2 linked regions of the Ovis aries genome follow. The protein of the gene in region 2 purifies or fractionates together with the protein of the main gene of each other region. This does not show direct contact. Links are inferred from orthologs where the notes say so. Each region holds a gene or a part of one and is shown on either strand. Other genes may lie near its edges.

What was found. Proteins that work in one complex are often made in the same cells at the same time.
Region 1: the proteins of MOB1A (region 2) and PJA2 purify together in Homo sapiens (affinity purification with western blotting; 3 studies listed by BioGRID). This does not show direct contact. The link is inferred for Ovis aries from reciprocal best matches to the Homo sapiens genes MOB1A and PJA2.

What each region holds. Positions count from the first base shown.
Region 1 is NC_056058.1:105,931,511-105,935,055, forward strand, and holds part of PJA2 (E3 ubiquitin-protein ligase Praja-2), read right to left. Parts: intron 3,401-3,545; coding exon 3,286-3,400; intron 2,898-3,285; coding exon 2,776-2,897; intron 261-2,775; coding exon 135-260; 3' UTR 1-134.
Region 2 is NC_056056.1:95,981,666-95,985,317, reverse strand, and holds part of MOB1A (MOB kinase activator 1A), read left to right. Parts: intron 1-548; coding exon 549-712; intron 713-1,655; coding exon 1,656-1,733; 3' UTR 1,734-3,652. UniProt on the Homo sapiens protein: Activator of LATS1/2 in the Hippo signaling pathway which plays a pivotal role in organ size control and tumor suppression by restricting proliferation and promoting apoptosis.

The DNA.
Region 1 (3,545 bases), on a different chromosome or scaffold from region 2:
TATTCTCTTTCTAAACTATGGCATAGACTATATATAGCATTTTTAATATATTTATATATAATTATTTGCACATCAGATTTAGAAGGAATCTGCAGATTTACTTTGATAGACTGATCTCATTCAAGTGGGAAGGCTTAGGGGGCTTCTGCAGCACTGTCACTCGCAGGGGGGGTGTCACGATCAGGCTCAGAGGAGGCAGCGGCGGGCGTTTCCATCACAGCAGGTGGGAAGTGGCGGCGGCACACGGGGCAGGTCCCGGACTGGAGAGAGAAAAATGGAGGGAGAGAAAAAGCAAGTTCGCAGCCAACAAACGGAAAGGTCTGAACTGCTATGAAGTATCAGAACAGGAGCATTATCCTAAAAAAGTCAAATAATGTAAAAACAAATGAACGCCAATCCACGAATACAGAGAAGCAGAATTCTGAGGCACTCTCCCCTCATCCCAGTCAGACTCTCGACTTCCCTGAGGGGACCAATGTCTCCCCATCAGTTCTGTGTGTTACAGGTCACTCATCTACTCACTGGGCATCTACTCTCCTCTCCACTTAGCACTGGCGCCACAGGGGTGAGCTGGAGTCGCAGGGCACGTCCTCCTCTAAAGTGAATTATTATGCATCTATGATGTATGTATTAAGAGAAACCAGGGACCTACTTAATTCACGTATTTATTACATCAAATCAGCCCCCTAGGATCTTCCACATATATAGTAAAACCTCACTCTAGTGTGGTACAGATACGTCAGAGCAGATGGACTGCAGCCCTTCTTTATAAGCCATATACTTCCTTTTCAGAAAGTTAAGAAGAGTTAGGTGCCTTCTGAATAATAAAACAAATCAATGAGGGAAGGTGGACCAGGGAAAGCAGCTAGACTGGGAGTGCATGGTTTTAGGACCAACGGCAGATTACAGAGATTGCCACCTGGCAATAGATAATCCCCTCACAAATCTTCTTTTTCCCAGAGATCTCCCCGATAGAAAATAGGTTGAAGAAATCATGCTTTTGAAGGTGACAAAGATATGAATCTTGGGAACCTTCTCCCCAGAGGAAAGGCTTCACACTATGCTGCTTCCTGACAGGAAAGAGAATAAAGAAACTACGACCTTGGGTTAAGGCAAAATCATTCACAATTCAAGACTGTACAACATAAGTAATATGTACAACTCAAGAACTTAATTCAGCAAACAGGCACCGTGCACCTGCCACGGAGATGGAGCCGAAGAGCAACACCTGAGAGCCACACAGAGGAGCCCAGTCTCCGCCGAGCACTCCAGCCGCGGAGCCTTGCGGGAGTGACAGCTACCCAGAGACGTGAGTGAGGACACCAACGTGTCCCCGAGCTGCCAGGATGGAGCGGGGAAGCGCGCGTGCGCCACCCAGGAGGGACACGCAGCAGCAGAGACCACACGAGGCCCTCCTTGCGGCTCTGACACCATTGCGGGCGTTTAACGGAAGGGATGCCGAGAACAGAAAAGGCGAACGCAAGCCGGACCTCCCCAGAACCTCTCTGTTTACAGCGAGGAGATGCTCGCACCAGGCTAGGCATGAGTAAAGGTACTGAGGAGTAAATCTGAAGGACAGACCAGGTCCCAGAAGGCCTGGAAAGCCTAGGCAGAAACTTTGGGTATTAGAAAGGAATAATGAACACTTCTGCACTGGATTTGAGAGATAGTAACTCGAATTTTGACAGAGATGAAGCGGCAGTAGAAGGGGACCAAGACCAAAGCAAAAGAAGGGAAAGAAAAGGGAGGACGGAGAGGGTGGATGTGAGAGAGAGAGGCGACCAAAGGAAGCAGTCACGGAGGAGACGGAGCGCCGTATCCGGAAGTAACCAAGCTGGGAAAGCTTCCACTGAACTGCATGTAAATATCCTTTATGGGAGAACAGAGTTCACTGAGATTTAAAGAATACTTTTTTAAGTAATTCAAATATACTTAAAAATTATTGGGTGAACATTAAAACACAGTATATAAAAATCGCACCAGAGGTACTTGGTAGGTTATTAAATATTTATCAAACACATTTTCACTTTACATTTTAAATATTTTATTGAAGCACAGTTGATGTAGAATGTTAATTTCTACTATACGGCGAATCCGTGTGTTCTTTCCCATATTACTTTCCATTACGGTTCCTAACAGGATATTAACTACAGCTGCCTATGCGACACAGGAAGACCTTGTTTATCCTCATTTTTAGAGATACCGTCTCATGTTAGCAGAATATCTGTACAATGTTACAGTACTCTGAGTAGTCCCAAAGACTTCCCAGCTTAAGATATTTTTGAAAACATCCGATTTCAGAAATACAATCAAAGATCTAACTAGTTTTATCCTAACATCATTTTCTCTCATTGTTTTTTAGAAAATGTTAGTAAGTTAAAGGGATTCCCTGACGGTTCAGACAGTAAAGAATCTGCCTGCAGTGCAGGAGAACCAGGTTCAATCCCTGGGTAAGAAGATCCCCTGGAGAAGGAAATGGCAACCCACTCCAGTGTTCTTGCCTGGGAAATCCTATGGATAGAGGAGCCTGGCAGGCTACAGTCCATGAGGTCACAGAGAGATGAATACGACTGAGCGACTCACTCTTTAGTAAGGTAAAATAGCTTGATATTACCGTTAATCTGTAATCTTTAAAAGGTAACCAATTTGAAACACTAAATTAAAAAATATTTTGAGTACACAGCTAACGGGCTTAAAAAACACTAACTTAACTTCATTAACTTGTAGAAGAAATTATTAAAATATTAATTCTAAACAAGTAAACCTGCAGCTCACCTTTTGCAGCCAAATCGAGACACAAGGTTTGTGAAAGAAGTGGTGGCAGGGCAGCTCCGTCGCTATGTCGTCCTTAATATACTCACTGCAGCAGATTGGGCAGCACTGCTCCTGACCGATAGCTGAAAACAGATGATGCGACTCATCAATCCCACCAAGTTCCGTTTTAATAAAGTTGAAATCCAACACACTAATTCATAAATGCTAACTACAGAAGATGAAAGAACCAGGATTTGATCAATTAATTGGCAATGCATTTCTGCTTAATGCATGACAATTCAGAACTTAACAAACACTGCTTTTGTAGAAAGGCTGACTGGAGAGCATCTGCCCAACCTGCTACCTGATGAACTTGAACATCCCATTAGGTAAGTTCGTCGGAGCTGAGTTTCACAGAGAATCTAATGAAAATGTCTGACAGTACTCTTGTCTTCTATGTGCCCTGGCTGACATACTTGAATACGCAACGTGCCATCTGACACGTTTATTCGAGATAAACTTTGCTCTTACCAGTGTGATCTTCAAGCACAAGGGTCTCTGGAAGACCATCAATGCTCTCCTTACTGGCTGGTGGATTGGCCACTTCCACATCCACTGCGAGAGACTCTAAGTGTGCCAGGGCAGTCTGAAAATGGACAGTCACAACACTCTGTTAGATACACTTTTTAAGCAGCAATGAAAGCCATGTTTAAAGGTGTCATCTAAACTCACATCCAACATCACCCCTCTTCCTGTTGGTTTCTTTTGCTTTGGTTCCATACTGAACCAAA
Region 2 (3,652 bases):
GTATGTGTGTGTATGTATGTGCGTGTGTGTGTAAAATCTTTTTAGAGTTATAAATTCCCAAAAGTAAATTTTTCTATTTATAGTCTAAACTGTAAATAGAACTTCCTGGGAGTTCCCTGGCAGTCCAGTGGTTAAAACACGCTTCCAATGCAGGGGCTTAGAGTTCGATCCCTGACTGGGGAGCTAAGATTCCCCACAGGCTGCATGACAGGGCCAAAAAAACAAGAAACAAACTTGTTGCTGTTAATTTTAGGGGGAAATTCTCCAGTGTTAAACAAGTAAAATTCAACTTTGATTTAGTGTCATCTTCCATAACTTGTCACTTGTGCCTGCTATTCTAAGGCAGTCAGCAAAAGTGTGGTATGAAGATACCTCACATACTTAGGTTTGGGTGGTTTTTTTCCCTTGCATTTTTGAAATATATATATGGATAGAAGCTTGTATTTGTGAATTTGTGTATTGGAGATGTTCATGGCATTGTCTAAATTTTTCTGCTATTTATTTTCCTCTTACTGATAAAGACTGATTGAGACATATATATATTACAGGTGTCCCATTTCCTAAAAACTTTATGTCTGTGGCAAAGACCATTCTAAAGCGTCTGTTCAGGGTTTATGCCCATATTTATCACCAGCACTTTGATTCTGTAATGCAGCTGCAGGAGGAAGCCCACCTCAACACCTCCTTTAAGCACTTTATTTTCTTCGTTCAGGTAAGTTGAATTTGGTGTGTCCTTTGACATGGACGTATTTGAATCGGTAATTAATAAAGAGTATTTATAATGTCTTATTTATAGATATAGAGGTAAGCATGCAGAGTTCTTCTGTTTTATTCCCTTTTTCTTGTTTAGTTCTTTGATGTACATAACAGAATAGAAGGCCTCACCCCCATTTGGGGCCTTTTGCCTCTGGAGAGACCTGCCCTCTGATTGGAATATGGCATGAAGCACCAAACACCCAGGGAAGCTTATCAACACCCTCATGTCCCATTGCCACCGCTGAATAAAGGGATGCCATGGGGAAAACATCTAGGGTTGTGTCATTTCATGAGATGTCTATGCCTGGAGGAGAAACTTTTGGAAAAACTCGTTAGCTACTACTATCTTGAGTTAAGTTTCCAGAAGTCTACTTCAGGCCGAATCTTACAAAATTGGCAGCTAGAAACGTCACAAAGAACTACCTCCTTCAGAGGTGTGGCCTATTTCCTTATGGGCCCTTAGTTGAAATTAGAACTTTTTAAAGTAAAAATAATTCACATTGTTTGAAAAAAATGATCAAAGAATAGGGACTCCTTAGCCTAACTTTAGAAATATCTCTCTATAGCTATTTTGATGGGAAAATCAGTAGCTTTTAGAGTAGATACTATATATCCAGTTCTGTGTACCACACATAGGAGGATGTACTGTGGTTTCTTTTTTGTCTTTCTTAGAGATTTTTGCCTGTCATAGATAGTATGTAGATGTAGGTATGGAGGCCACTGTCAAGTCCCTTGTATTTTAAAATAGGGAGTAAAAATGATCCTCTTTTAAAATATTCATAGAGATTATTTCATCATTCTTTTGGATTTCAGAAAGCTAGAGTTGGGAATCCTTTCTCTGAGTGACAGAGTTTTAATTTTAGATCTACTTTCTAATTTTATTTTTCTTCTTTTTTTAGGAGTTTAATCTGATTGATAGGCGTGAGTTGGCACCTCTTCAGGAATTAATTGAGAAGCTTGGATCAAAAGACAGATAAATTTTTCTTCTGGAACAGTACCTTCTTGCTTCATCTACTGCTAGAGCTATCTCATTGCTTTCTGTTATAGACTAGTGATACAGACTTTAAGGCAGGATAAAAAGACACCAATTGTCTGTCTACTGATAAAATTGTCCCAAAGGTAGGTTGGCCTAATACCTTCAGAGAGAAATTCAGGACATGGCTGAATTCGAGGCACTGTATGATCACTGCTGTTACTACCGCAGAGTCATTTTTGGTTGTAGTATATGAGGACTAACTTGTAGTTTATTAGTTTAGTTATTCATTTACTGAAGAAGATGACTGAAGTCTGATTCAGGTAACAGCATGATGGATATAAAATATTTCTACCAATTTGTTAACAAGCTTCAGAACAAATTTCCTAATAATGCAATCAGATCAGTTTTATTCTGCTTTTATTTTACAAATAGAAGAGGCATTTTGAAATTTTCTTTAGATTAAAAACATTTGTGTTACTTTGGATAACCTTTTAGTTTGAAGTTTGTATGCTCTTTTTTTAATAGGTTATATACATGTATTTTTTTTCAAAATCCACGATTACAGTTTAAATCGTCGTAAGACATGGTATGGGAGCAACCAGAGTTATTTCTAAAATGACTTTATTTTTTAATGTTTATTTGGGATTTTATTCACAGCCTATCTAGATTTTTAGTGTGTATCAAAGAATTTTTTTAAGGCATCTAAGAATTAATTTTCTTGCAGATTTTTATTTTGAAAAGCTTCATTCAGATTAATTTTAATATGTAGGTTTTGGCTGAGAAAAGGGAGACTTCCAAAAAAATTATAACAAATTTTGGTCTCAAAAACCATTATTTTCATTCATGTTTTTGGTTTTGGAGGCCTTGAAATTTGGATAGGAGAAGAGAAGAAAGTACTCGAGTACTTGATTATTTTGTTTTGAGTTTTCCATAAATAGAAACTACTTCTGTGTATTTTTATTGTGTCTTGAAACTTAGTTAAGAGTAGTGTAGAAATGCATGAACTTTATCCCAATAAGGTTAAAACATAAGGAAAACCGTAATTAAAAACCTTAAAGGTATGCACATTTTATAACCCAGCTCAAAGTTTGGTGTGCTACATGTTCTTTCATGTGTGTGTGTGTGTGTGTGTGTGTGTGTGTGTGTGTCGGGGGTAGGGGGGTATATGTTTAAAGGACACGAAAATGGGATAAGTAAAAAAAACTTCATTCTGTTAATAGTCAAAGGATGGATTGGCATTTAATTTGTTTTAATTGTTTTTGTATCAAAACTTGAAATTATTCTGTTGGGGTAAAAAGAATCTCCTTAGTGAAGAAAAGATCTAAGTTTCGTTAGATTTTTCAGATCGAGACTGAAGTGTATTGAGGCACACATATTACTAAAGACTTGCCAGACTGGCAACACTTGAAGTTCATCAACATTTGTTTCAGAGCTATGATTTTTGCAAAGTACTCACCATGTTCCTTGATACCTTTGGTTAAGGTTAAATTTTGAAGGTTTTTTTTGTTATTTATTTTTATTATTCTACTAGATTGTAAAGAAAAAATGACTTGGAAACTCCATTTTTGTAATAACTCAATTTCAATAAATTCTTAAATATATATAGAATTTTAAAGGAAACAAAACATTTTATCTAATTTAGGCTGAAACCATACATCATTGTTTTGGGAAATAGTGGGAAAATCTCTTATTAAAAAAAGTCCTCCAAGAAACATTCCATAATCCTCATTTTAAGATTATCCGAAAGAATCATCAGGCATTCTGTATGTTTATGTTGATCATTTCCAAACAAGAAGATTTTTAGAATGTTAGGATGTTACTGCCTCTTGACTTTTAACATTGTTGGCTTTAATTAAGTCTGCTAGGAATGAAATATTTCTCAAGTAAGATTATATTTTTATCATTTCTAATATTTCAAGT